Linked DNA regions of Sus scrofa. The main gene of each other region encodes a partner of the protein of the gene in region 2 in a complex. Links are inferred from orthologs where the notes say so. Each region holds a gene or a part of one and is shown on either strand. Other genes may lie near its edges. The genes, in order: TMEM107, TMEM231, TMEM67, TMEM216 and TMEM17.

What was found.
Region 1: TMEM231 (region 2) and TMEM107 share a complex: the UniProt entries of both Homo sapiens proteins name them as parts of the tectonic-like complex. The link is inferred for Sus scrofa from reciprocal best matches to the Homo sapiens genes TMEM231 and TMEM107.
Region 3: TMEM231 (region 2) and TMEM67 share a complex: the UniProt entries of both Homo sapiens proteins name them as parts of the tectonic-like complex. The link is inferred for Sus scrofa from reciprocal best matches to the Homo sapiens genes TMEM231 and TMEM67.
Region 4: TMEM231 (region 2) and TMEM216 share a complex: the UniProt entries of both Homo sapiens proteins name them as parts of the tectonic-like complex. The link is inferred for Sus scrofa from reciprocal best matches to the Homo sapiens genes TMEM231 and TMEM216.
Region 5: TMEM231 (region 2) and TMEM17 share a complex: the UniProt entries of both Homo sapiens proteins name them as parts of the tectonic-like complex. The link is inferred for Sus scrofa from reciprocal best matches to the Homo sapiens genes TMEM231 and TMEM17.

What each region holds. Positions count from the first base shown.
Region 1 is NC_010454.4:53,393,399-53,399,578, reverse strand, and holds TMEM107 (transmembrane protein 107), read left to right. Parts: upstream 1-2,514; 5' UTR 2,515-2,658; coding exon 2,659-2,745; intron 2,746-2,914; coding exon 2,915-2,982; intron 2,983-3,084; coding exon 3,085-3,185; intron 3,186-3,934; coding exon 3,935-4,031; intron 4,032-4,255; coding exon 4,256-4,325; 3' UTR 4,326-5,079; downstream 5,080-6,180. UniProt on the Homo sapiens protein: Plays a role in cilia formation and embryonic patterning. Requires for normal Sonic hedgehog (Shh) signaling in the neural tube and acts in combination with GLI2 and GLI3 to pattern ventral and intermediate neuronal cell types.
Region 2 is NC_010448.4:12,137,882-12,144,058, reverse strand, and holds the start of TMEM231 (transmembrane protein 231), read right to left. Parts: upstream 3,743-6,177; 5' UTR 3,373-3,742; coding exon 2,872-3,372; intron 1-2,871. UniProt on the Homo sapiens protein: Transmembrane component of the tectonic-like complex, a complex localized at the transition zone of primary cilia and acting as a barrier that prevents diffusion of transmembrane proteins between the cilia and plasma membranes.
Region 3 is NC_010446.5:42,919,737-42,925,225, reverse strand, and holds part of TMEM67 (meckelin), read left to right. Parts: intron 1-849; coding exon 850-949; intron 950-2,461; coding exon 2,462-2,531; intron 2,532-2,624; coding exon 2,625-2,699; intron 2,700-5,489. UniProt on the Homo sapiens protein: Required for ciliary structure and function. Part of the tectonic-like complex which is required for tissue-specific ciliogenesis and may regulate ciliary membrane composition.
Region 4 is NC_010444.4:10,118,605-10,124,821, reverse strand, and holds the start of TMEM216 (transmembrane protein 216), read left to right. Parts: upstream 1-2,561; 5' UTR 2,562-3,184; coding exon 3,185-3,221; exon of another isoform or gene 3,222-3,235; intron 3,236-3,877; coding exon 3,878-3,979; intron 3,980-4,555; exon of another isoform or gene 4,556-4,661; intron 4,662-4,780; coding exon 4,781-4,873; intron 4,874-6,217. UniProt on the Homo sapiens protein: Part of the tectonic-like complex which is required for tissue-specific ciliogenesis and may regulate ciliary membrane composition.
Region 5 is NC_010445.4:79,413,802-79,419,767, forward strand, and holds the start of TMEM17 (transmembrane protein 17), read left to right. Parts: upstream 1-1,965; 5' UTR 1,966-2,021; coding exon 2,022-2,121; intron 2,122-5,966. UniProt on the Homo sapiens protein: Transmembrane component of the tectonic-like complex, a complex localized at the transition zone of primary cilia and acting as a barrier that prevents diffusion of transmembrane proteins between the cilia and plasma membranes.

The DNA.
Region 1 (6,180 bases), on a different chromosome or scaffold from region 2:
ATATTGGATATACTTCCTTGTGCTATACAGTAGGTCCTTGGTTATCTATTACATATACAGTAATTATGTATATGTTAATCCCAAACTCCCAATTTATGCCTCCACCCCTCACCCACTGGTTTAGTAGAAGGAAATCCCTTTATTTCACAGAGAGAAAAGCATTTCCTCGCATTCCTGACCACATTACCTAAAACAAAGTTTAAGAAAAAACAACCCCTTTTCTTCTTCATTTCCCCCCTCTTTTAGGGCCAAAGCCGCAGCATATGGAGGTTCCCAGGCTAGGGGTCGAACTGGAGCTATAGCTGCTGCCCTACACCACAGCCACAGCAACGTGAGATCCAAGCCACATCTGGTACCTACACCACACCCACTGAGCAAGGCCAGGCATCGAACCCACATCCTCATGGATACTATTCAGGTTCCTTTCTGCTTCACCACAATGGGAACTCCCCCAAACGACCCATTTTCAAAGACATTTTCCTTGACCACATTATTCTAATATTTCCCTTTAAATATTTTTTCTTTATGGTGCTATTATCATGCAGATTCATTATTTGTTTTCATATTTCATGTCAGTCTCTCTGACCCCCACAAAGGTAGAGACTTCTGTCTGTTTCTCAAGTACAAGAGCCCAGCACAGTGCCTGGGACTTACTAGCTGGTCAATGAGTATTTGTTGAATGAATGAAGAAATAAAAAATGCCTCTTGGGCTTGTCGTTTAAATCAGCCTAGAAGCATAAGATGGAGAGTATTGATAAAATTGATAAAATAAGTTGTCACACATTGAGATCTAGGGAAGACATTCTGGCTGACACATGAGTTAACCTGAATTTTATGCTAACTAAAATAGCCTCTTTGGGAGGTCCCCGTGGTGGCTCAGTGGTTAATGAACCCGACTAGTATCCATGAGGACAGTGGATACAATCCCTGGCTTCGCTCAGTGGGTTAAGGATCCAGCGTTGTCTGTGGCCTGTGGTGTCGGTTGCAGATGCGGCTCGGATCCTGTGTGGCTGTGGCGCAGCTCAGATTCAATCCTTAGCCTGGGAACTTTCATATGCCGCAGGTGCGGCCCTAAAAAGACACACACACACACACACACACACACACACACACACACACACACACACACACGAAAGCCTATTTGTGGCCTGTCAAACATTCCACATCTGCTTTAATTGTTATAGAAACAGGCACAGGAACCAGAAGAAAAGAATACCCATTGTTAAAAATAATGTGCCCTCTTCCTGGGGTGCCAGTGCTGGCACTCCCTGGATGATAAGACTCCCTTCCCAGGTGCCAAGGACATACTAACTCACTGCGTAGGTGCTGGCCTGTTCTTTTTTTTTTTTTTTCAATCTTGAAGAATTGCAGCCCCGACTTGTTTAATATTCTTTGTTCTGACAGGATATAATACAGTGCTGGAAATCATGCATCTTCTGAGCAGTTTCTAAGAGTGATATGGGAAGCAGATTCAGGGCTACTCAGTAGTTTGGCTCAAATGAAATTTTCTTCAATTCTTATTTTAGATCCTTTATTGATTATTATCATTGGCAACGGGAAGAAGAGCGATGATCCGGTAAGAGGGTAGGGAGGTCCCTGTGAGGTTGTGCATATGAGAAATGAACTCCGGCCAGAACTTTCCGTTCTGCCTGGAACCCTTTTGAGGCCCAAAGGTCAGGGAGGTCGCTGATAGTGAGAGATGCTTGGATAGTAGCTGGGCAAAGTCAAGTGCCCACGCCTCAAAGAGATAAGGAAATCCTTGCAGAGTCTGCATCGACACCCTCGCTCCTGGCCTCCCGGGGACGCAAGGTCTCATTCCCTGCCTCCACCCCCATCCCCAGCCCTTTCTGGTCCTCTTTGTTCCCTCTCTTCCCCAAACACACTTCTTGGGGCACACCCTAGTCCAAGAGAGCGGGCCACTTTCCGCGATGTGCAAATCCCTCACCAGTCTGAGCAAAGGTGTCTGGGGCGTGAGGGAGGGGGAACTAGAATCAACGAAGGTGCAGGTATGGGGTCCTCCAACGACCAGGGGCTCTGGGACAACAAGTGGCAGCCGGACAACATAGGCACATCCACCTCTCCACGTTCGGCCCAGGGCACGTGGGAGCTAAAGGAATGCGGAGGAGGGAAGGAGAGAGAGCATCCAGGCCTCAGGCACAGACAGCCGTGTCCGGAGGTTCATCCGGGACAACGCAGCAGGGGTTGGGGGTCGGGCTGCACCCGGCGTGGGCATCCGGAGAAGGGGGGGGTCCCAGGCTAGGCCCGGAGGGTTTCCGTTCGCCGGCGCTGCGCGGGCAGACTGGACGATGCAGGGCAGCGCCACCGCACACTCGGTGCTGACCGCTCGGCTGCTAGTGACCAGGCAACGGATAATCGGCCTCCCGCCGGAATCAAGTACGACGCAACCTGACTTGCAGTCCCGCGACGGCACGCAGCTGCTTGACAGTTTAATGCTCTCGCGAGATTTTCAGAGATCCGGTCGCAGCACCAGCTACCGCAGTTACCAAGGCAACTGGGCGGTGCCAGCGCGAGCGGGAAGGAGGCGAACGTCGAATTTTTGTCTGCTAGCCTAGGAGACTTGAGGACTGGCCCTCCCCGAGTTTCCAGCCCTAGAAACCCCGGCCTCTGCTCCAGGCAGTACCCCGTCCCCTGGGGGCCATGAGCCGGGTCTCGGGGCTCGTGCCCTCTCGCTTCCTGACGCTCCTGGCGCATCTGGTGGTCGTCATCACCTTATTCTGGTCCAGGGTAAGACCCACGGCCCCGCTCCGTTAGTCCACGCTCCCACCTTGGAGTGGTCCTGGCCCCACTCTACGCCTCTCCCCGGGGGCTTACCCGGTCGGGTGCTCCCCCCCCCGCCCCCACCCCGCCACCGCCGCCCCTCTCTCAACTTCTTTCTTTCTGCCCTGCTCCTCAGGACAGCAACATCCAGGCCTGCCTGCCTCTCACGTTCACCCCTGAGGAGTATGAGAAGCAGGATATTCAGTGAGCACCTGGGGCAGGGTGGTCAGAATTAAGCAGTCGTGGAAGTGAAGGGGTCTTAGAAAAAGTTCAAGAGGCCTAAGCCCACACCCTTCCTTTCTGCAGGCTGGTGGCAGCGCTTTCTGTCACCCTGGGCCTCTTTGCAGTGGAGCTGGTCGGTTTCTTCTCAGGAGTTTCCATGTTCAACAGCACCCAGAGCCTCATCTGTATCCTTTCTTCCGTGCACCTTTCCTGCACCGGCCATTTTCATCACAGCTCCTCTCCGCCACCTAACTAGGCCTTTCTGGTACATTGGTGTTTGTTCTAGTAGGCAAACAGAGTCCCTCCAGTTGAGAAATCTTCTTAGGCACTGTGGGAGATTTAATACAATCTTTGGGCATCTGTTAAGCTCCTGCTATACATCAGTCACTGGAGATCTCAAAATGGGAGTAAAACACAATTTTCTACCTTGAGGAAGAGTTAGACACAGACAGACATCTGTAATTCCGTGTGATAAGCACTGTGCCACGGGATGTGTAAAGATATGAAGCTTGTGGGGACACAGACGAGACAGAGGACGTGAGGGAGATGGATTAGGGAAGGCTTTGGTACTTGAATTGTGGTCAGGGAGGACCAGGGTGCTGGAAAGTGATTCCAGCAGAGAGTAAAAGGTCACAGAGTGCTTGGAACAGATGGGGAGGCTACTACCTCACCTGAACGGTCCAGGCTAGATATGGGGTGGGGGTTGCTTAAGGTCCCAGCTGTGCAGACTCAGCTCCTCTACTCACATGGCTGCCCTAAAACTCAGGATTCAGGGCTGCTGGCTCTGGCCTTTGCAGTGTGGTAAGAGGAGCAAGAGGTGCCCCGCTTCCTAGGATGTAAACCTGAATGTAGATGCCAGCCCCCAAACCGGCCTTTTCTGACCCATTACTACCTATTGATCCAAAGGATTTCCTTGACTCTAGTGTGTTCCAAGCCATTGGGGCTCACTGTAGTGCATCTGTGGCCCTGTCCTTTTTCATATTTGAGCGTTGGGAATGCACCACGTACTGGTACATTTTTGTCTTCTGCAGGTACGGTAGCACCCAATGTTTGGGCATGGGAAAGCAACATTAACTCTAAATCTGAAGATTTCCCTCACCCAGCTCTTTACTCCATGTATAAAATATCAGATCCACTCAACATCCTTTTTTGAAGTCCCCTCCCTCCTACATTTGGGGGTGGTATCTCTGGCTTGGGGATTTGGATTTTTTTATTGGATGAAGGGGACCCCGAAACCACCACCTATCTTCCGCAGTGCCCTCCCAGCCGTCACTGAAATAGCGTTATTCATCAGCGTCTTTGGGCTGAAAAAGAAACCTTTCTGATACCTTCATGACCGGAAGTACGGATGAAGGCTGGAAGAGCGAGGGATCGCTCACCGTTCCTGGAAGAAGGAAGTCAGAGGCTCCAGCTCTTCCTCCAAAACTGCGTCATGGAGGGTATCAGTGTAATAGTAATTATCTCTCGAGTCTGAAATTATGTGTGCTTTGCTTATAGTTCTTTGTAATAAATATATTTTTAGAATATGATCGACTTATAAAAATTTCAGATGAAAATTGGGGTGGCCAAAGTGATGGCTGTTTTCTAGGCCTGCGGACTGTAAAATAGTATATTCGCTTTTATTTTGGTTATTACGGTAGAAGTCTGGCGGGAGGGTGGGCGGGGATATGTAAATAAGGCGGTACTTACGGGTGGGACACCCGGCTGGTAAGTGAGTGGAGCATTCTGGGAGGAATTAGCTTATCCATTTTTGATAGCCAAATGGAAAAACTTATTTTAAAACATTTGGAAATAAATGTACCAAAATATACAGAAGAACCCAAGTAGGCTTAGTTGCTCGGACCAACGCAGTGTTTACTCATCCTATCTTTGAGAGGAATCTTTTTCCCAGAGTGCGGAATGTCACGCTAAACGTTCTTATCGTCAGGTAGGATAATCCTTACCTGTTCCTCCTTCGGGAGGGCAGAATGGAAAATGATGATTGGAGCTCGCATGATTCGTGATTAACGGCTCTGCGTAATCAGGACTTGCAACACCCTGATTGCTCCTATCTGATTCTTCCTGACGATCAGCGCTTTTTATCAGAGTCTTCACGGTTAGAAAGCTGTTGTTGTAGGGAAGACGTTGTACTTCCTATTTCTTGCTAGTACTTTCTTTTCAATTGTGGCTCTTGTCGCGGATGTTAGTGTAGTGCTAACTCCTCAAATCCCTTCTGCCGCGGAGCAGGCTTCCTTTTTAGTCTCAATGGCTGCAGTTTCCACCGGAAGGTTGGTCCAGGTTCTGAATCCACTCAGTAGTCTGCAGGGAACTCCCTGCTGCTGCTGCCTGGGAGGTGGTGATGACAACACGTTCAAGAGAATGCTGCTTCGCATTATATACACAGACTGCAGGAGTCTGAAGGTCGGTGTTAAAGCATGTGTATTCTCAGGGTCATGTTTAGATTCATTACTGAGTGGAATGGTGGAGCCCAGCCATCCCTGGAGATGCTTTCTGGTGATGCCTACACACAGATAATTTTATCCTAGCTCTCTGTCCCTTCTGGCAGCCTTTCATTCTTACTATCACTCAAAAAACAAAACCAAGCAAAAAACAAAAACTGAGCAATTCCTATATGCAGAGCGCTGTAGTACTGAGGGAATAAATGTGAATATGCTCGGTACTCGCCTTGGCCCTCACAGATGCATGATAGATATGGCTCATGGAGGCAGACAAGAGACAATTTCTAGTATTCTCAGAGTAATTTAATAGCGAATTATGATAAATGCTATAAAGGCGACTATGGAGGCTATGGAGTAGGGATTAATTTGCCCAAAGTGGTACAAGTGTTGCTTCTCCAGGAGCAATTTGAGTGAGGTCGTGGAGTGTGCCTGAAGCAGATGGGCAGGGGGGGTGGACATTGTGGGCCACAGTTGTAGCTTGACTAGGAAAGTCACATCCCACTGCAGTTTGGGTTTCACCAATGATGTGCTCTACCAATTTGTGAAAGATGACTTTTTGATTTTTACAAACGTTATGGACAGGTTGTTAAAATCAGCTACTATCAAAAATTATGTTGGAGTTCCTGCTGTGGCGCAGTGGGTTAAGAATCTGCAGCAGCTCAGGTTGCTGTGGAGCTGGGGGTTCCACCCCGGATCTGGCTCAATGGATTAAAGGATCTAGTGGTTGCTGCAGCTGCAGGTG
Region 2 (6,177 bases):
CTAGCAGTACCGCTGGGAAGCCAACCGGTTGTGGAAGATGAACAGGTGAATAAAACTGAGAAATGAAATATTGCCTGCCTGCCTTATCAGTAAACAAAGGATGTCACAGAGATTGCAGTCACCTCTGAAGGGGAGCCCTGAGGGAACTCAGGAAGGAAGCTAAGAATACCTGCCTTCGAACAGCCATCAGGCTGCAGCCACACCGGATGGCGAGCCCTCAGGAGGTGAAAAGCCAGAGAGCTGAGGTGCCCAACAGAGGAATGGTTTCACTGAGCCCTGACTCTTCCATCTTCCCAATACAAAGAAATGTGCTAAATTTCTTGAGATATCTAGTTTTTTTTTGGGGGGGGGTGCTGTACTCCCATATGGAGGCTCCCAGGCTAGGGGTGAAATCGGAGCTGTAGCTGCTGGTCTACACCACAGCCACAGCCACACCAGAGCCGAGCTGTCTGTGACCTACACCACAGCTCATGGCAACAACGAATCCTTAACCCACTGATCGAGGCCAGGGATCAAACCTGGTCCACATGGATGCCAGTCAGATTCGTTTCCACTGAGCCATGACGGGAACGCCCTGGTTTTCTTTTATTAACAGTAATCTGTGTGCCCTTTGCTGCAAAACTCCTATGTATCCCAGCTCCCCTCCTTTCCTTAGAGTGGGTTTTCTCAGGGTTACCAGAGAAGCGGTCTCCTGGGCTTAAGTCCTCAGTTTTGTCTACTGAATATAAAACAGAACTCTCAACTTTTAGGTTGAGCAAATTTTTTTTTTTTGTCTTTTCTAGAGCCGCACCTGTGGCATATGGAGGTTCCCAGGCTAGGGGTCCAATGGGAGCTGTAGCTGCCGACCTATGCCAGAGCCACAGCAACGTGGGATCCGAGCCGCGTCTGCAACCTACACCACAGCTCACGGCCACGCCGGATCCTTAACCCACTAAGCAAGGCCAGGGATGGAACCCGAAACCTCACGGTTCCCAGTCAGATTCGTAAACCACTGAGCCACGATGGGAACTCCTCCTTACTGTGTTTTTTATTTGCTTGCGTAGTTTTCTGTGTACTTTTACAATTTCAACATACAGTTTCTATTCCAATTTCTCACAATGTGATGTTTAAAAGTAAAAGCAAATCAAATATCCACCAACAGGAAACTGGTTAAATCCATTACCACTTTCTGTATCGATTACTTTGCAGACCTTAAAAAGAAGTTTGATTAACAAATATTGATACATGGGAAGTTCCTATTGTGGCTCAGTGGTGATGAGCCTGATAGTATCCATGAGGATGTGGGTTTGATTCCTGGCCTCACTCAGTGGGTTAAAGATCCCGAGTTGCCATGAGCTGTGAGGTAGGTCACAGATGTGGCTGATGTGGCTTGGATCCTGCTCTGCTGTGCCACAGGCTGGCAGTTGAAGCTCCAATTCAACCCCCAGCCTGGGAACTTCCATATGTCCCAGGTGTGGTCCAAAAAAAAAAATGAGACATGCAATTCTAGACATACTGAGTCTACCCACATGGAATTAGGTCTAGCAGGGGAGAGATGAGAAATAAATGAATTATACACAAATACTGATATATGTGCCAAACTGGGTCTTTAATTTTATGTCATTATATATACCTGTAACTCTTTAATAATTTACAAGGAGAATTCATAATCATAAAAAAGGTAAGGAAAGTTAAATATTCATAAAAAATCTGAATCCTATTTTGCTTGTGGTTATTCATATGAACAGTCAGATTACTTTTTTTTTCATTTTATTAAGTTGCTGGGAAAAATCTTATTTTTTTTTTTTCAGCTACACCAATTTGGCTGTAGGCCAATCATCTCAGAGGTGTCTAAAGAGATCCAACTTTGAAAGAAGAAAATCCAGAATTTTCCTACTTTCAAAGGAAAATGTCTCCTGAAAATGAGCGTAAAGGGGTGGGTGACTATAAAGGAAGCATTCACTTACCTCGAATCAGACACTAGATTACAGGCAGTAAAAAACTTCGTTTTCACCCCCAGACGGCGGCAGGATGCAGCAGCATCTCAGGAGGCAAGCCCAGGGAGGCTGGACTGGGCCAGCAACAGTCTGGGGAGGTCACTTAACCAATCAGCGCCTCTGCTTCCACATGTCAGTCTGCCTAAAAATACCCGCCCTTTTTGTTGCTACTGCTTGCTGAAGCACAAGCCAGCTGCAAGAACGAGTAATTAAAGAGAGCATTAGACATTCGCGTCATGGCTCAGCGCTTAACAAGTCTGACTAGCATCCGTGAGGACGCAGGTTCAATTCCTGACCTCCCGCACAGGGTTACGGATCCGGGACCTGGCGTTGCCATGAGCTGTGGTGTAGGTCGCAGACGCGTCTCAGATGCCTCTTTGCTCTGGCCCTGGCTTGGGCTGGCGGCTACAGCTCTGATTAGACCCCTAACCTGGGAACCTCCATATGCTGCGGGTGCGGCCCTAAAAAAAAAAAAAAAACAGAAAAACCAAAAAAAAAAAAAAAAAAAAAAAGAGAGAGAGAACGTCAACTGGCTTTCACGACTCAGCAACTTTCGCGACCACGCTTCCATCAGGCCACGCCCACGGAAATGGGGGCCAGAGACAGGCTGTCCGCAGGCTATCAGTCTCTGTGTGGGACACACACCCTGACAGCAGTGACTAATTTTCTCGGGGGTGGTGGACGGCTTGGAGAATTCGAATATTACAAAATATTTACTCCCCAGGAAATTAAATATAAGCTTAGGCCAATGAGCCTGTACACACAACTTCTGTGGATTCGTAACTCCTTCAGACCCAAGCAGGGCCCCCAGGGACAAGGACCCGGACCGCCCAGCTTCCTCCCACGCATGCCCCTATCCCCATCTCCATCCATACACCCGCCCAGAACCACGCACCGAAACGAGCGGGACGCGCAGGTGATCCCCCTGCAGTCGGTTGAAGGCAGGGAACGTGCTCCAGGCCAGGAATCCGCCGTGCGCGTGCTCAGGTCCCAGCAAGGCCACGAGCAGCACTTGGTGCTGGAAGCGTACGGTCGGCTGCTCCTCGTAGCTACTCCGTTTCAGCCAAAACCCTGAGGTAAAGAGGGCAGGAGGCAGAGGGGAAGAGGTTAGGGAGGCCGGCGGGAGCACCGGGGAGAATCCTGTCGCGCACTGGCCTTCAGGCAGGCTCACCGTGGCTCCGGAAGGCCACCAGCAGCGGTGGGATGTACGTGAGGGCGGTGGCCAGCAGCAGGAACAGCGCGGCCTTGGAGCAGAGCCCCGCGCGGTAGCCGCGCTCCACCGGGTGAGAAAAGAGTTCGTGGAGCGCCATGAGCACAGGTCGGAGTCGGGCTGCGCGTCCCGGACCCCTCCGCGGTTCCAGAGACTCGACCAACTTTGGCTTCTCCTGGTTGCCATAGCCTTGGTCTCCACGGCAACCGCAGGCGCGGGGAAAGGAACCAATAGCAAGGAAGCTGGCTTTGGTGGGGGTGGGGCTAACGGGGGGCGGTACCCACTGGTGGATCGTAGTCCTAGCTTTAAGCGTTAGGCGCCCTTTCCTATAAGCTGAGCAGAAATGGAATGTTCCGTGCCCCCAAATCTTAGCATCGCCCTTGTTAACATTTGTGTCAAATTAGATTTTCATAAATATTAAAGTAAATACCTGCATAAGTGTCATCTGTTAATCCCCAATGTGGTTCACTGTACACTGAGTCCAGTAACGGCACACCTTACATTGGAGGAAAACAGTGTGGTCCTGGACCTGGTCACTCCTTTGTATCCAAATGTACCTTTTTTCTTTCTTTCTTTTCACTTTTATTTATTTATTTGTTTGTTTGTTTTTAGGGCCGCATCCGCAGGCATATGGAAGTTCCCGGGCTAGGGGTCAAATAAGAGCTGCAACTGCCGCCTACAGCACAGTTCCAGCAACACAGGTTCTGAGCTGCGTCTGTGACCTACACCACAGGCCATGGCAATGCCAGTTCCTTAACCCACTGAGCGAGGCTAGTGATCCAATCCACATCCTCATGGATGCTAGTCAGGTCCCTTACCACTGAGCCAGGGCAGGAACCCCTGTCTCCAAATTTTCTAATGCTTTCACTAGTCCATAGCAAGACAGACACCGAAACAGGTCACAAAGCACCCTGCTCTTCAAGGGATAAGGATAATTACTATATAGCTCTACTATACTATGTTATAGTTGAGCACAGGCTTGACGACCTGTTTTGGGGAAGCTCTGGCCCTCTGCAAAGTTAACCTTGGTGTGTCACTTCATTAAAAGCTCTCCCTAGTATTTCAAACAAGGCAGAAGGATCTTTTTTTTTTTAAGGGCCATACCCATGGCATATGGAGGTTCCCAGGTTAGGGGTCAAATTGGACCTACAGCTGCCAGCTTATGCCACAGGCATGGCAATGCAGGATCCAAGCCATGTCTGCAACTTACACCATAGGTCATGGCAACACCAGATCCCTAACCCACTGAGGGAGGCCAGGGATCAAATGGATCCTCATGGATACCAGTCTGATTCGTTTCCACTGGACCACAATGGGAACTCCCAGGATTTTTTTTTAACACGTTCAACAGCCAACTTCTTTATCAAAAGGACCCGAAGAATCAAATGTCAGTGCCAAGAGATAGTGTGAGGTTTGTTATCAGAATGGAGTCCAGCAGTAGACGCTCCTATTTCAAAACCAACCTAGAAGTGCTTTTGTCTTCTAGTTTCATTGGGATATAACTGACATACAGCACCATATAAGTTTAAGGTGTACAACATAATGATTTGACTTACATACATCATAAAATGATTACAATAAGTTTAGTGAACCCTTCACCTCATATAGAAAATTAAATAGAAAATATTTTTCCTTATAATAAGATCTCTTAGGATTTATTCTCTTTCTTTCATATGTAACCCAGTGCAGTGTTAATTATATTTATCATGTTGTACCTTATATCCCTAGTACTTATCTTGTAACTGCAAGTTTGTACCTTCTTTTCATCCAATCCCCTCTTCCCTCCACCCTGATTCTGGTAGCCACAAATCTGATCTCTTTTTTTAATGAGTTTGTTTATTTTTGGAAGTATAAGTGACCTACAACCCTATTAGTTCCTGTTTCACAGTATGAAGTATTTCTACACATTTCTTTTTTTTTTTTTTTTTTTTTTTTTTTTTGGTCCTTTTAGTGCCGCACTTGCGGCACATGGAAGTTCCCAGGCTGAGGGCCCTGAGCCACAAGGGGAACTCAAGTATACCTATACATTTAAAAACGATCACCATGAGAAGTCTAGTTACCATAACCTAGAAGTGGGTTGTAGATGAGGAAAACAGCTGAGATCCTAACAACACAGAGAGAGGTCAAGACCTCCCTTATGCGAGAACTATCCAGAGTCCAAGCTGACAATGTCAGCAGCCATAAGATGTTTCTGACATATCTGGTCCCGTACTATATATTCTTGCTTTAAAGCTTTTCTGAGGTAGCAACACAGCTGTAAAAAATTGATAGGCTTAAATCTATGTTGCGATTCTGACCTATTGTATCTGTGCTTTAAGCGAATGTCTTTCATTTATATAACCATTAAAATAAAATTTAGAGGCGTTCCTTTGTGGCTCAGTGGGTTAAGGATCTGGCAGTTGTCACTGCTGTATCATTGGTTAGAGTTTTGGGGTAGGTTCAGTCCCTGGCCCGGGAACTTCCCCAGGCCATGGGTGCCGCCACAAAATTTAAAAATTTAGGGAGTTCCCATCGTGGCTCAGCGGTTATGAACCCGACTAGTATCCATGAGGACACAGGTTTGATCCCTGGCCTCGCTCAGTGAGTCAAGGATCCGGGGTTGCTATGAGCTGTGGTGTAGGTCGCAGGCATGGCTTGGATCCAATATTGCTGTGGCTGTGGTGTAGGCCGGCAGCTACAGCTCCGATTTGACCCCTAGCCTGGGAACGTCCATATGCCTGTGGGTGTGGCCCTAAAAAGACAAAAATAAAATAAAATAAAATAAAAATTTAGAATAGATGATTATTTTTTGTTTGTTTTTTGTCTTTTAGGGCCACACCTGTGGCATATGGAGGTTCCCAGGCTAGGGGTCTAATTGGGGCTGTTGCCACTGGCCTAGCCACAGCAACGTCCAAGCCGCGTTTGCAACCTACACTACTGCTCACGGCAGTGCTGGATCCTTAACCCAGTGAGTGAGGCGAGGGATCAAACCTACAACCTCATGGTACCTAG
Region 3 (5,489 bases), on a different chromosome or scaffold from region 2:
TTCCAAAAATAATGTTCTGCAGCATACTTTTTTCAGTTAACAATATGATCTGTTAGATCTGCCTCATTCTTTTTATATCTGCTCCATAGTATGTCATTAGCATTTTCTATTTAGATCATTTTCTAACAAATATTGTTTTGTTGTTGTTGTTATTTTTTGCTTTATTTTTATGCTGTGGCCGCACTCACAGCATATGGAAGTTCCAAGGCTAGGGATCTAATCGGAGCTACAGCTGCTGGCCTGTACCACAGCCACAGTAACACATGAGCCGAGCCATGTCTGTGACCTATACCACAGCTAATGGCAATGCTGGATCCTTAACCCCCTGAGCGAGGCCAGGGATCAAACCTGCATCCTCATGGTTACTAGTCGGATTCATTTCCACTGAGCCACAACAGGAACTCCTAACAAATATTGTTTTGATGAATATTCTTATACACATGTACAAGTGTTTCTGTAGGTTAGGTATCTGAAAATGAAATAATTTGAGTAGATACTACCAAAAGCCTTTTAAGTTGTGAAAGACATCAGCAGTCTATGTCAATATTTGTTTCCCCATACCCAGTACAACAAGAACATGTAGGTAAGATGTAAGAAATTTTCTGAGAAAAATATATTAACTTATGATGATGATGATGATTTGGAAATTAGTTTCTGTATTTTTCATGTGGTAATGGGGAGGGCTTCACTTTTCGATAATTTATTATAATAGAAGGTGCTTGACCTGTCTTTTATGCAAATAAGGCATTATGGGAAGTTTTAGAATAATATTACAGGTGGGTTTTACTAAGTGTATAGAAGCTTATATGTTGATTATGAATTATATCTTGTTGTTTCTAAATTGTTTAGTGGAAAGAGATGTTAATGGAACATTGTTGTCCCAAGCAACTTGTAAGCTCTGTGATGACAGTGAGAACTCTTTTACGGTAGCAAATGCTTTAGGAACCAGGTAAGCAGTGTGCTGGGTGCTAACTTCATTAATATCATCTTATATTTATGTAGAGTCTTGCCTTCCCAATCATATTTCTTGCTCCTTGCAATAACCCAAGGAAAGATAGAAGTAGATATTAACAGGTAAAGAAGCTTAGGCCCAGAGAATGAGAGAAAATAGGATTTAAATTTTGTTTTAGTCTCTCTTTGGTTGTTTGACCTTCACTGGGCAAGTCAGTCTCCTTGTCTTTAATATGGGGATATACCACCTACTTCTTAGGCTGTTATCACAGCTCAGAAATAAATACCTAAGGGTCTTAGCTAAGTACTGCAGAGTAAGCGCTCAGTAAAAGATACTATTTTTGTTTGTCATTAGGTATTTTGTACATAATCTATAATCTAATATATAGTATATGATAGTAACATTTATTTGCAGTATACTTACTGTATACTGGGTACTATATATATTGTATTTCATAAAAATACATTAATGAATGTAGTGATAATTACCATATCCAGGTACCCTGATTTATAGCCCTGTTCTCTATCATTTCCTGTTCCTGTTTATGCATGCATCCTGTGCACCATATACACACCCCTCCATCTCTAACTTAACCACATTATTCCTATTCCAAATTCTTCAATTTTTTTAGAAGCCTACATGCTGACCTTCCTCTAAGCACTGTTTTCTCTTCAATTCCCAAATTTAAGATAGAAAATACTAGAGAAGCTTCTCCTGGGGATACTTAGTGTTGATCATCTTTTCTCCCTGGCTGACCTAAGTTGCAGCATCCTAACACAGCCTACTGGGCTGACCCCTTTTTCTTCCCCTCTTAGACCTCCCCAAGCCTAGTTTGAGCTACGTACTATGCCCCAGCCTCCTCTCATACCTGTCCTATCTTGCAGGTAATGAATACCCATAGAAACCCATCAGGATCCATGCTCATCCAACGCCTTCTCTCCCTCTATATCATTTATTAATGAACAATATTTTTTCCTAAAATAAGTAAAGTCAATGAAAAACTTTTAAAGTGTTGATTATGGGCTTGATGAGGGGATAGATACATGTGTCTTTTTAGCATATATTACCTTTTTGCTTTGTGGCAGAGAAATAATTAAAGTATATTTGATATAACTACTTATAAAAATGGATTGGGTTTCATTATGTGAGTTTGTTGGGTTCTTTTGTTAATTGAGTGACTTAGCCATCTTTTCTATTCAGTGTTATTTGTTTTCTATTATGTGTGGTTTCAGAAAACTATTCCCCTATCATTGGTTGATTTTATTTTTTTATACCTTGGTTTGTAATACAAAGAACAGTATAAAACTATTCAAATCAGTGTTCATACTTTTAATATGCAATAAAACTTTAAAAAATGAAAAAATACTTTAATATGTTTACTTTATTAAAACTATTTGCTTAGTGGAATGAACCTATTCACACCTAGTGTTCAGGAAGACAAATTCTTGATTAGATTAGGGCTACTGTAATTCATTAATATTTTCAAAACTATTTTTGTTGTATCGACAGGTGTGTCCGATGTGAACCAACATTCATTAATACCAGCAGGTCCTGTGCATGTTCAGAGCCTAACATTTTAGTAAGGCTGATCAAATTTATAATGTATATATTTTTAAATTAAATTGCTTATACTCTTCCATTAACTTTTTTTCCCTCTTATTTATTTATGAAGACAGGAGAATTATGTTTCAGCAGCACAGGGAATTTTCCCCCACATATGATTTCAACTGCACGTTATGGAGAGCTTGTGAGTATACTTCAGTTTTTTTGTTCTGTTGTTAAGGATCTTTCTGCATTTCTTCCTTTGGTCCTTAATTTGGGGTAAAATGAGAAACATTTGTGTAAATCACTTTAAAGCAGCAGTTATCAGTCAATAAGAAACATTAGACTAACAACTCAGCATTATAATTTATTCGTTACTTATACGTCTTCTCTCCCTTAGCTTGTTTCTTTTTCAGTGAATCACAGAATGTTTAAGCTGGAAAGATTCTTTATAGATCCTATAAAGAGTGCAGCTTAATACAGTTAAGAGCACCAAAGACTCTAGATTTGAACCCTGGATTTCCTGTCATTAGTTTTATATCTTTAGGCTTTCTAAACTTCAGTTCTGTTATTTGTAAATTGGGAATAATAATAACCTACCTCACAGTGTCTGCACATGGTAGTCACGGGAGATTTGAGGATTATTTTTATCTGGCAAGGTTCCTTATTTATAGTTCTGCTGCGAGCCACAAAGGAAGTCCATGGTTCCTTATTTATTGATGAGAGTACAAGGGCATAGATTTAGAGCTTTTGCAGCAGAAGCCAGTGATGACACGGTCTGGGATGTACAATGGGAAGTGCATGAACTGGAACTGAAGAGGTCACCAAGTCAATAGAATAGAAGTTAGATGATTAACTAGAGGTTAGTTAATGAGCAGAAAATGAGAGTAACTAGGAGAGCTGTAAGGATAGCCTTGATGAGGGTAAAATCTGGGATCCTCATGAATAAAGCAAAAATTCCTCTTTGCTGTAGTCTTGTGGCCTAACTGGCAAGTACCAGGTATTTGCAGAGCAGCAACAACAAAAAAATGCCAAAATAGGTGTATAGATAGGGAGCATGAGATCATATCCAAAAATTAGCTCATCTGTAATAAGATGCATGTCTTTGGGGACATTCTTCTCCAGTCTTGGGTTATAGTGATTCCTCCCATTATCCAATTAGCAGGCCTTTAATTTTCACTTTTTCCTTTTTCAAATTTAGTTAATTTTGCCAAAAATTCCCACAATGTCTCTTTTTCATATTTGGTCTCAGATTACTAATCAATTGGAGGTCATGTCCCTTTCATTTTCCTTCCTCTGGAACGGGTCCTCAGTATTTTCTTGCCTTCCTTGAGCTTGACAGTTTGAAAGATTTCAGGCTTTAAATCCAGAGCGAAATCCTCAACCTGGGTCCATCTGGTCTTTCTTCATAGTCAGGTCATGCTTGGCAGGAAACCACAAAAAAGGTGTGCTGTTCTCAGTACATTGTGTCACATCAGGGTGCACATGATGCCTACCTGTCCCTGTCCCACTGCTGGTGATGTTAACCTTGATCCCCTGCCATAAACTCACCATGTGCACTGTAAAGTTACCATTTTCCCTTTGTGATTGGTTCATATTTTTGAGAAGCGTTTCCAAAGTTACACTTCTTCACTAAACCTTAATAGCTTTAGTCTCCACTGATGACACTTCCCTTTATCAGCTGCTACTGTGATGGTTGCCAAATGTTTCTACCATTCCTTCCACATTATTATTATTATTATTATTTTTGTCTTTTTGCCATTTCTTGGGCTGCTTCCACAGCATATGGAGGTTCCCAGGCTAGGGGTCGAATCGGAGCTGTAGCCGCCAGCCTACGCCAGAGCCACAGCAATGCAGGATCCGAGCCATGTCTGCAACCTACACCACAGCTCACTGCAATGCCAGATCCTTAACCCACTGAACAAGGCCAGGGATCAAACCCGCAACCTCATGGTTCTAGTCAGATTCGTTAACTACTGAGCCATGACGGGAACTCCCTCCTTCCACATTATTAACATTCAACTCTAAGGAAGAATTTCCCCTTCTCATTTATATATTTATTTGTTCATTAAGAACAGTGTGGGTTCCTATTTTGTTCATTTTTTAATAGTCCAATATATGTATTTCTTGTTTTGATGCTCAAATTGTCCTAGATTTGGCCATTAGAAGCCCTTTTGAGTTGGTTCCTATATCTTTTTGACATATCCCCATCATTCTTTGAGCATTTCCTTACTTGTACTTTTCCTGCTTCAGCCCCAGAATCAGCTGTTTCTCTACGAAGCTCTTAAAAATAGTATTCAGAAAGCATAGTTACCATGCTTAGTGTGCCCTTTTTAGCAGACATAGCTGGAAATGTATATACACACATTATGTATGTACATACACACATGTATATAACTGTTTCTCGTGTATCTGTTAAATGAGTTCAGGGAGTTCCCACTGTGGCAGAGTGGGTTAAGGATCTGTCATTCCTTGTAGCGGTGGCATAGGTCACAACTGTGCCTCAGATTTGATTCCTGGCCAGGAACTGCCATATGCCTCAGGCGTGGCTGAAAGAAGAAAAAAAATAAAAATAAAATAAAATAAATGAATCCATACTGATATTTTCAACTCCAAAGCAATACCTCAGAGTTTGTGTTAGCCTTTCCTTTTGACAGTGGTGAGACTTGACAGTACCTTCTCTCATAGTGAGAACTCTGGGTCTCATCCTCAATTTCTCATCTTGCTATAACCCAACCGTCTTTCATACCATCCCCCACCTCCTCCATCCCCTGTACTACTATGGGAGTAGATCTGTTGCAGGCTTCTCTGCTAGGAAGGGAAAGTAGGCAGGGAAAGGCTATTCCAGTCTTAAAGTTAGTCTGACTCGATTAATGTATTTCATTTAAACATGCCAGTCTTTTTTTTTTTTTAGGGCCATGCCTGAGGCATATGGAGGTTCCGAGGCTAAGGGTCAATCGGATCTGCAGCTGCCGGCAGCAATGCCTGATCCAAA
Region 4 (6,217 bases), on a different chromosome or scaffold from region 2:
TTTCTTGGAAAAAGACATATACACCTGCATGTTCATTGCAGCACTATTCACAATAGGCAAGACATGGAAACCACCCAAATGTCCATTAACAGATGATTGGATTAGGAATATGTGGTATATATGCATAGTGGAATACTACTCAGCCACAAAAAAGAACGACATAATGCCATTTGCAGCAAGCAACATTGATAGAACTAGAGACTCTCATCCTGAGTGAAGTAAGTCAAAAAGAGAAAGACAAATACCATATGATATCACAAATGAACCCTTCCACTCATGGACTTGGAGAATAGATGTGTGGTTGCTGAGGGGGAGGGAGCGGGATGGATTGGGAACTTGGGGTTAATAGATGCAGACTATTGCCTTTGGAATGGACAAGCAATCATATCCTGCTGTGCAGCACTGGGAACTATGTCTAATCACTTATGATGGAGCATGATAATGTGAGAAAAAAGAATCTATACATGTATGTGTAACTGGGTCACCCTACTATACAGTAGAAAATTGACAGAAATTCACAGAACACTGTAAGCCAACTATAATGAAAAAAATAAAAAAATAAATAAATAAATATATATATATATATATATATATATATATCAGCAAAAGATGCACATGCCACCAGGAAGGACCCTGAGTCAGTAGAAATATGGGCACAAACAAGATAGTTGGCTAGAGACAACACCCCACTCCTGACAACTTGGAGCACTGGCCCCCCATAAAAGCTATAGAAGCCACTCTTATTGTACACAGCTCTTTCTGTAAGCTCACCCCTGTGTGCTCTTTCACATGTACTGTGCTTTTTTTTAATTGGCCACACTTGTGGTGTGCATTGAACCTGAGCCACAGTAGTGACAGGCCAGGGATTGAACTTGAGCCACAGCAGTGACAACACTGTATCTTTAACCCACTGAGCTACCAGGGAATGCCACACATACTGTACTTTATTTTTGCTTTTTTAGGGCTACACCTGAGGCATATAAAAGTTCCCAGGCTAGGAGCTGAATCAGAGCCACAGCTGCCGACCTACGCCACAGCCACAGCAACTCAGGATCCAAGCCTTGTCTCTGACCTACACTGCAGCTCACGGTGATGCCGGATCTCCAACCCACTGAGCAAGGCTAGGAATGGAAGCACATCCTCATGGATAAAAGTCAAATTCGTTTCAGCTATGCCACAACAGGAACTCTCCATACTGTGCTTTTAATAAACTGCACCTGCTTCACGGTCTTGGTCACCTTGCTGAATTCTTCCCCCAAGGAAGATAAGAACCAAGGTCTCTCACTGCCGAACTCAAGCTCATTGTGTTACTCATAGGCCCTGGGTACCAGGGAACCAGGATGCCACAATGATGCTCCTGTGTTTGTTATTTCAATCTTATTGCCTATTTTTAGCACCGATGGGAGCTACTCCTTGCTGTCTATGACAGGAGTCAGCAAAATTTTACTTAAAGGGCCAGATTGTAAATATTTAAGCCTGTGAGCCATATAGTCCTAACAAGTGATGCAACGACTCAGCCTGAAAGCATGAAAGCCTATTACATGAAAGCAGATGTATTTCATGGATGTGGCTGTGTCCCCCCCAAAAAAACTGGAAGAAACAGGTCTTCAGATAGGTGTTTTGGGGAGAAGACTTTATGAACCCAATCCTGGCATCTCCTCATATCTAGAAAAGCGCTAAAATCCTTCATGGTGATGCCTGCTCCTCATGACTAGCGGGAAACTTCACCAAAGGAGAGTAACTTTCTGCTAAATTGTACCACCCCTTTCACCAAAATCACATATATACTGGCATTGCCCCCACTTTTTTGGAGCATTTTTTTTTCCAGAGCTATCTGAAATGCTGCCTCCCAGGCTATAGTCCTCACTTTGACGGCCCAAAAATTTAACTCACAATTCTCACATTGCGCATTTTTTAAAAGTCTACAAGTGTGACATCTTTTTCCTGTCCTACCCTTCCTGACAGTGGGCTAACCCCTATGTCACCCTGAGTCCATTCAAACCCCTTCTTCCTGTGATGGAACATGATGGAGGAAAATGTAAGAAAAAGAATGTATGTATATGTGTAACTGGGTCACTTTACTGTACAGCAGAAATTGACAGAACATTGTATCAACTACAATAAACAAAATTTTAAAAAAGCAAAAAACAACCCTTCTTCCTAGTCCCCTGCCCTGTGGGGTAACACATTTTTACTGCTCCAAATCATAACAAGTTTCAAAGCCCAGTTTACAGGCCATGTCTTGGAAACGTCTCCCAACCCCTACCGAGAGTACTTTGTCTTCTCAACTGCCACTGCACATTGGGGTCAAGTGCTGATTATATTTCATCTTTTGCTCTTATTTATGCTCCTTGAAAGGAGCCTCCAGTTCCGACTAACTTTGGTACCTTCTTCTTCTTCTTTTTATTTTTTTTATTTTGTTTGTCTTTTTAGTTTTTAGGGCCGCAGCCGTGGCACATGGATGTTCCCAGGCTGGGGGTCGAATTGAAGCTGTAGCTGCCAGTCTATGCCACAGCAACCTGGGATCCTGGCCACGTCTGCAACCTACACCACAGTTAACCACAGCGCTGGATCCTTAACCCACTGAGCAAGGCCAAGGATCCAACTTGCATCCTCATAGATACCAGTCAGGTTCCTTTCCGCTGAGCCACAAGGGAAACTCCAACTTTGGTATCTTCTAACTCCCTGGTACATAAATCAGATGCATAGAAAAACCCTACCCCCGCATCCCCTCCCCTCAGAAAAAGACTGTTTACACAAAGGATCCCCAAACTCCACGCCGCATTTGCAGCGCACTGTCGCGCACACTATTTCTCATTTTAAGACCCATGTTAGTAAAGAAACCATGGGACCAGGGCCTATTCACCAACTCTGATCACATTACCACTACTGGCTGCTTCGAACAATTCCTGGTAAATTTGGGATGGGGGCGGGGCGAAAACTGCCCCGCCCTCGGAGTCCTGCAGACGACATCATCTGCTTTCTTATCAGTCCTCTGCCAAAACCCCAGCGAAGTCGGTTCGCGGCCCGCGCTCCTCCCGGCGCAGGCGTGGCCGTCACAAGAGTGCCCCCGGCCCCAGGTAACCATCGAGTGCAGCAGGCGGATAGAAGGGCCCGAATCCAGGGCCGCTCCGTCCCTCGCTTCCGGCAACGCCTCGCTGCTCCAGGAGTGCTGTAGCCGCGTATGCAGTTTCCATGGGGACTGAAGATGGCGCCGCGAGGTGAGGTTCTGGAGGTGTGTGAGTTGCTGGTCCTGATCCCTTCAGTTTCCCCCCCCACCCCGCCCTCCTCTCCCAGCGTCGACCTGAACCCTCCATTCTCCTCACTTGTCCACAGCAGGGTTTAGCAGCCTCACCTACCCTGAGTGCCAGAAGGTCTCGAGATGTGGGTCTCAAATACCCCCAAATCCTTGGCTCAGCCTGTTCTAGGCCGGCTCAATAGGAATTTGCAGCGTGGCTTCACACTGGCCAGTGCTGTCTCTGGGTCCCAGTTTTCCTTCCTAAATAGCGACGAGGTTAGATCCCTGACTTTCACCCCCAAAGCCGAAGCGGTAGAGTTTGATGGCGATTCTGGAAAGGAGGAGATTGAAGGAAACACACACACACACTCACTCCTCATCAGCAAACAGAAGTGCCCCCAGGGACCCTTTCTGTCAGCTGAAACCCCTCCACACTCCGTACGCACACGCGCGTGCACACACACACACACACACACCACACAGACACCTTCTCATCAACAATCAGAAGTGCCGCCAGTGGCCCTTTCCACCAGCTGCGGCCTCCTGTTTCCTCCAAGTTAGACACAGAACCATTCAAATAACTGGGGTTGAGCTGCCTGCCCTCCAGCCCGTCTCTTTTCTCTGTGCTCCTATTTTCAGGTAAACGGTTATCTTCCACCCCCCTGGAAATCCTCTTCTTTCTGAACGGGTGGTATTATGCTACCTATTTCCTGCTGGAACTCTTCATATTTCTGTATAAAGGTAAGGTCTGGGGTTTAACTACCCTTTCCCCAACATCCCTTCCCCACTTCAGCCCAGAGCCAGCTCCCACCCAAAGCCTTATTTTTTCATTCTTTTCTGCTCCCCTGCAGCTCTTCTTCACTGCAAGGTCTCTTCATCAGATGGCTTCCTTGAGAATGATTCAGTAGGAAGCCACTCAGCAAGAATTTCTTGAGTTTGGGAAATGGGGGCTTCTCCCTTCTGACTCTCCCCTGTCACCTCTCTTTGCTGAACTCCACTTTAAGCCCATTGGTGACCCTCAGAAGCTATTCAGCGCCGTATATCCGTGTACATCTGATCTGATAACTGGAGAGTGGCGTCCCCACAGAATCTTTTTTTTTTTTAAGGTTTTATTGAAGTATAGTGATTGCAACTATAAATTGATTTGCAATGTTGCGATAATTTCTGCTGTACAACAGAGTGATTCATTTACACATATCCACATCTCCATTCCTTTCCAGATTCTTTTCCCATGTAGGTTATCACAGAATACTGAGTAGAGTTCCCTGTGCTATAAATAGCAGGTCCCCACTGACCACCCATCCATTCCATATGCAGTAGAGCCCCACAGACTCTTGGAGTTAGGAGTAAAAGCCCATAATTACGAGCCTGCCTCTAACAGACATAGCCGCACCATGAGTTAACGGATCCTGCCCGTATCTCAGTAAGTAGCTCATGGGAAGAGAACATGATAAGACTCATGTTCTCTTTATTCCCAAGTGAGTGGGAGACCTTGTGTGTGCTGTTCGACGTTGTTTGCAAACTCTGGCTTTTGTATCGCAGGTCTCCTGCTACCATATCCAACAGCCAATCTGGTCCTGGATGTGGTGATGCTCTTCCTTTATCTTGGCATTGAAGCAATTCGACTGTTTTTTGGTGAGTGTTGTCCAGAGGCTATTTCCATTCCTTGCGAGATGAGCTGGTATCTGTAACTTGATGAACAAAGAAAAGCACTTAACCTTGGCTCACAATGAGAGAGTGGATCTGGTGGCATATCCCGTTACACCCTCTCTGAAGTTTCAGGCGGCTTCATACTTGGGGTCAAGACTTACCTGTCTATTGCTCTGTTGCGCCACAGGTGGGTGGCGGCATGAGATATTAGATCATTCCTTCCCGATTATCTAACTACAGGAGTGCCTGGTTCCTCTCACTGGTTTCTTGGGAGAAGAGATTTCGTTGTAACTCCATGTCCAGGGCAGTAGATCAGCAATAAGGTCCCCTCCGGTTCTCTGAAAAAGGATTTCTCTAGGACAAGTTTACATCCCCGGAGGTACAGAGCAATCCCTCATGAGTTACCTCATCCCTGAAAACGGTGTTAAAACATACACTGAGGGAAAAAAATAACTTCAACAAAAAGAGGTTCACATAAAGAACTAAGAAAAAGATAACCTCGTTTTAAAAATTAGCAAGGGAGGAGTTCCCTTTGTGGCTCAGCAGGTTAAGAACCCAACTAGTATCCATGAGGATACGGGCTCAATTCCCGGCCCCGCTCAGTGGGTTAAGGATCCAGTGTTGCCGTGAGCTGTGGTGTAGGTCGCAGACATGGCTCAGATCCTGTGTGGCTGTGGCTGTGGCTGGTAGCTGCAGCTTCTCCATTTCAGCCCCTAGCCTGGGGACCTCCATATGCCGTGGGTGTGGCCCTAAAAAAAAGTGCACTGGGAGTTTCTGTTGTGGCTCAATGGCAATGTGCCTGACTAGTATCCATGAGGTTGTGGGTTCGATCCCTGCTCTTGCTCAGTGGGTTAAGGATCTGGTGTTGCCGTGAGCTGTGGTGTGGGTCGCAGACGTGGCTCAGATCCCGCATTGCTATGGCTCTGGTGTAGGCCAGAGGCTACAGCTCCCTAGCTGCGAAACTCCATATGCAGCGGGATCGGCCCAAGAAATGGCAAAAAAAAAGAAGAATCACAAAGGACCAGTAAACATTATAAAATGCCCAAACTCACTAATAAAAAGCAAATTGGAAAAACAAGGTGACATTTTTACCCATCAGATTAAAAAGATTTCCAAATACCCAGAATTCAAATGCCTGTTTGAGGAACAAGTCTCTGTTCCTGCACTCATGTGGGTATTTATATCCCATTTATTTATGGGATATAAATATAAATAAGTGCAGCCTTTTGGCTAATAGTTTTTTTGTTTGTTTGTTTGTTTTTGCTTTTTTTTTAGGGCCACACCTGTGGAAGTTCCCATGTTAGGTGTCGAATCTGAACTGTAGCTGAT
Region 5 (5,966 bases), on a different chromosome or scaffold from region 2:
TATGAAGTAAAAATAATAGTCTACCACATACCCATCAGAATGGCTAAAAGGAAAGTATGGAAAACAAGGACTGATGACAGATTTGGAGCAACAGAAATGTTCGTACATTACTGGAGGTAGTAGAAATTGGTACCACCACGTTGGAAAACTGTTGGCAAGATCTTTTAAAGTTGGGTCATACCTCATAAGCCAGCAATTTCATTCCTAGAGATAAGTTCAACAAAAATACATACATATGTTCACAAAAAGACATATATTCACCAAAAGCGGCACTATGCACAATAGCTCCAAACTAGAAAATACACAGATGCTCATCAACAGTAGATTGCACAAACTTACTGTGGTGTGGTCACACCGCAAGGAAAGAGGGCAAAAAGTCAGCTTTTATTTTTTTTTTCTTTTTTTAAAGCACTTGCTGTATGATTACTTTTATATAAAGAATAAAAATAGGCAAAACTATTCTATGGTATTAGAAGTCAGGAAAGGTTAGTTAGAAGTGGAGGGTTAGTGACTGCAAGGAAATAGGAAGGGAGAGCTTCTGAGGGTACTGGTAAAGTTAAGTTTCTTTTTTTTTTTTTCTTTTTCTTTGCTTTTTAGGGCCACACCCATGGCATATGGAGGCTCCCAGGCTAGGAGTCCAATCCGAGCTACAGCTGAAGGCCTATGCCACAGCAACACAGGATCCAAGCCGCATCTGCAACCAACACCACAGCTCAAGGCAACACCAGATCCTAAGCAAGGCCAGGAATTGAACCCGCAACCTCGTGGTTCCTAGTGGGATTTGTTTCCACTGTGCCACAACTGAAACTCCAAAGTTACATTTCTTGATCTGGGTTCTTGTTACACCTGTATATTCAGTTTGTACACTTTTCTGTACATAATTGTACCTAACCAGTTTGTCTGTTTGTTTGTTTGTCTGTCTGTCTGAAACGATACATCTTATTTGAGGGAAAGCTAGAAAAATACTAAGTGGTTAAATTTTTTTTTCTTTTTATAGCAACACCTGTGACATATGGAAGTTTCCTGGCTAGGGGTCTAATTGGAGCTGCAGCTGCAGGCCTATGCCACAGCAACTCCGGATCTCTAACCAACCAAGGCCAGGGTCCCAACCCACATCCTCACAGAGACTATGTTGGGTTCTTAAACCCCCGAGCCACAACAGGAATTCCTATTTTAAATTTTTTAAATCACCCACAATCACTATCTAGACATTACTACTAACATTTTGGATTATTTTCTTCTAGTCTTCTTTTGAAGCCACAGTGCTTGTGCCATCTTCTCCCCCTCTCTGCTCCCCATATATTTACACACACACATTTTACTAAATTAGGTTCATTCCTACTTAGTTTTACTTCTGGTTTTTTTTAATTTAAAGTTAACCCATCATTAAATATTCATTGCAAACATGCTTTTAAACTGCTTCAATGTATTTCACCCAATATATATGTGTATCGTATATATATGCTATGTATATATATATAATATTCCTAATATATAACGTATTCCTATAAGAGAGTATGTATGTGTATACATACATATGTGTCTGTATACATACGGCATGCATATATTAAAAAATATTCCTAGGATGTAATAATATCACACACACACACACACACACACACACACACACACACACACACAAGCTACTGGGTCATGAACAGTCTGTTAACTCAGCATTCATTCTATATTTTCTCCCAGAAAGATTGTATCCCACTGGCAAGGTCTTAGAGCTCCTTGTATCACAATCCAACTCTAGTCACTAATTATTATTTTTATTCCTTTTTTAAAATGGTGGCCGTTAAAGCAGGACTTAGGAATCTGCGGTTTGGCATCATGCTGAGGCGCTGGGCAGGAACTGGCTCCCTGCACTCCTCTATCTTCCAGGGCTGCCTGGCGCCTCAGCCCGCAGCGGGGCCGCGCGTGCGCCCCAGCCCCCAGCCTCGCGCGGCCCGGTTGCTGTGGGAACCTCAAAGCGCCACGGTGCCCGAAGACCCAGGTGGGAGCAGTACTGAGGCCTGAGCATGGAGCTGCCGGATCCGGTCCGCCAGCGGCTGGGAAACTTCAGCCGGACCGTGTTCAGCGACTCCAACCGGACCGGGCCGGAGTATAGCGAGGGTCCGGGTGAGTGGCCGAGGCTCAGCGCAGCGCGTGGAGCGGCCAGATTTTGCCCAGACCAAAGATGGCGGTTTCGTCTTCAGAGAGTTCACCGCAGTGCGGGAGGCTCCTTGGAGGAGGGGCTGGGCCTGGGGCTGGGGCTAGGACCAGATATTCGGGGCCAAATACCCAGGCGGTCTTCGGCTGATGGTGCTGTAGCCTCGCGGGCGAATTGCAAGAGGGGCGGCCGACGTGGCGCCAGCCTTCCTCAAAAAATACAAGAACAAAACCCGCCTTCGCATTCCGCGTCCAGTCCCGCGCCCTCCGAGAAGGCTGAGAAGGCCGACTTTGCTTTTCCTCTGCGGCATCCGCCCTGGCATATTATGTCCAGGATGGAGTGAAAACAGCCCAGGCAATCTCCCCGTCCCACCCCACCCCCAACCCCAGTAAAATATCTTTTCCTTTTTTTCTTTTCTACCAGAACAAGTATGTTCCACCACAAGTCCGTTTTCTGGCAGAAAGCATGAAAAGTTTTTGTTTTTGTTTTAATGAACTATTTTAAACGCTATCCAATTCAGAGTGGCAGCTGCCACACTAGCATCGTCTCCAACAAAACTCACCCTCTCCCTGCTTTCTTCTCCTTCCCTATATATAACTCTTGCCCTAAATCAAGTAACAGAATACCATGATGCTACATTCAACATGACAAGTGACAACGCAGTTTCCTGCAGTTTCCCCCTCTTAAATCATGATGATAGACAACATACTGTGAACCAAACCCGTGCGCTTTTTATCACTGAACTGTGCTGGGAAATAGAAATCTTTTCCTTTTGCTTGGTTTAGGGATTTTTTTTTTTTTTTTTTTTTTTTTTTTAAGGAGGCAGAGAGAAGTCTGTTCCCATAGTTTCATTTTCCACGCTGATTACTAGCCTGTCCCTCCAATTTAAGCCTCCATGATTTAGGATGTACAGAGAAAAACATAATGTGAAAAAAAAATTGACTTTTACATTTCTGATTCTAAAGCTTAACAGGCACTAAAATCTGATGATGTAAAGTATCAGGGGTTTTCTGTAAAGGGCCAGATAGTAAATATTTGAGACCTTGCAGGCCATAGATGCATGTAGCAGCCATAGATGATGGTAATTGAATGGACTTGGCAGTGTTCCAATAAAACTTTATTTATGGATGCTAAAATTTGAATTTCCTATGATTTTCAGTGTCGCAAAATATTATTCTTTGATATTTTTTCTCAGCCATTTAAAAATGTGAAAAAACCATTTTTAGCTCACTTGCTATACAAAAACAGGCAGCTGGCTGGTAGTCTGCCTACCCCTGATTTATACTATAAAATGTTTTAATTTAAATTCCATTTATAGAACTCAACTTGTACTTTTGCAAAATTTAGTAAATTCATGTCTTGTGCTTGCTTTCAAAGTTCATTTACATATTAACTTGATTTTCAACTGCATGATTATAAGTTTGATCTCTGAAATATAGACATAGCATAACTCTTAAGAGGCTTGTGTACAAAATTCTTAACATAATAACTTCTTTGCAAAATTTGACTACAGTGTTTGCTCTAAAGTTATTAAAATTTTCAGCTTAACTAATTTATCATATTTTTCCACATTTTCCTCTTTGTGGATCTGAAATAGGTTCGATTATTTGTACTGTAAATACAAGGGTATATTATGACCTTGTCCACAGCTGACCAAGAGTTGTATGGTTGTTATGAAAAAAAATCCTAGGCAGGTGAGTTATCTTCAGATTTAACAGATTTTAAGAATGCATGCCTTGATCAGTGGCAATTTAATCAATAAGTACAAGCAAAAGTAGATCATAATCACACAATGTTTAAAAAGTAGATCATAATAACGAGGGATATTCTTGGAGCTAAAGAAAACCTTGCTATGAGAGACTGTGATTATTTTACATTTTAAAATTGTTAAATGATAGATATAAAATACTCAGCTATAGAGAAAAATAAAAATATACTTTTAAGAAATTTTAGAGCCTTCAGCAGTTAACGAACCCAACTAGGGTCCATGAGGATGCGGGTTCTATCCCTGGCCTCGCTCAGTGGATTAAGGATCTAGTGTTGCCATGAGCTGTGGGGTAGGTCCCAGACTCGATCAGATCCCGAGTTGCTGTGTCTGTGGTGTAGGCCAGTGGCTATAGCTCCGATTTGATCCCTAGCATGAGAACTTCCTATGGCAGCCCTAAAAAAAAAAAAAAAAAAATTTAGTCTTTGTAAATCCATTCTTTTAGAACTGTGGATTTCAAAGTATGTTATCTGTTCTTAAATTGTTAGAATTTTTAGTCAAATTTAGGATGCATTTGTAGGGCTCATTTGTTTCTAATTTATAAAGTCTTTTTATATTTTTTCCTTTTTAAAAAAACAAAGGATAGTTGATTTAGAGTGTTGTGCCAAATTTCTGCTGTATAGCAAAGTGACCCAGTCATATATATATATATACACATATATATAAATATATATACATATATACACACACACACACACACACACACACATTCCTTTTCATATCTTCCATCATGGTCTATCCCTAGAGACCAGATATATTTCCCTGTGCAATACAGTAGGACCTCATTGCTTATCCATTAAAAATCCAATGTACTATCAGTTGTGCCACAGAGCTGCCTTGTAGGGGGGCTCAATTTTAAAAATCAAATTCTTGGAGTTTCCATTGTGGCACAGTGGAAACGAATCCCACTAGGAACTATGATGTTATGGGTTCAATCCCTGGCCTTGCTCAGTGGGTTAAGGATCTGGAGTTGTTGTGAGCTGTGATGTAGGTCACAGATGCTGCTCGGATCTGGCGTCGCTGTGGTGTAGACTGGCAGCTGCAGCTATAATCAACTTTAGATAAATGAAACTCATTCATGTATCATGAATGGCTGTACTGCTAATGTCCTTAATTCTTTCTACTTATTTGTATTTGGTCTTTACCTTGTGTAAAGCAAGATGCTATGTTCTGTGAGGGTCTCAAATTTGAGTATATTGTGGTCTGTGGTTACAGTGAGTTTGTGTATAAGTCAACAAAGAGAAGGAATTAGGAGACTAATATTTATTGAGTGCCTACTGAGGGCCAGGCAGGGTTCTATAGTGAAGTAATTTCTATTATCTTTAATCCTCACAAACAACCTGTGAGGTGATTTTAATATTACCATTTTACAGATAAAGAAATTAAGGCTCAAAGAGTCCTAAAATGGCATCCAGAGTTCTGAGGGCATTTGGGGAGTTCTGGGTTTACTTGGACTCCAAAGCCTCAGTATGCCTGAAAAAGGGTGAGTTTAATTATAACTTAGGGTGATTGGGGGTTTGTTTGCTTGTTTTTGTTTTGTTTTTTAGGGCCGCACCCGACACTTATGGAAGTTCCCAGGCTAGGGGTTGAATCAGAGCTGCAGCTGCTGGCCTACACCACAGCCACAACAATGGGGGATCCAAGCCAGGTCTGCCACCTACACCACAGCTCACGGCAACACTGGATCCTTAACCTGCTGAGCCATGATGGGAACTCCTAGGAGATAAGTTTTTGAGATTAGTTTATATATGAGTGTTTAGTTTTTATGTATTTTATGTGTTCATTTCATAGGCTCTCTACATAAAACTCTACAAAGTAGGTAATTATTATCTGTTCAGTAGGATTCATATTGGTATTCCACTTTTACCTTATACCAGTAGGTTGCAAAAAAAGTCATCCGACTATAATGGAAAATGATAAAGTAATTGGAAAATATCAGATATGCCCCCTAGTAGCCAACATAGGAACTAAACAGTATTATGATGACTCCTTTCGCTGTCAGTGATTATAACTAGGCTTAAAATTTTGATTTTTGTTGAGCTGATAGTA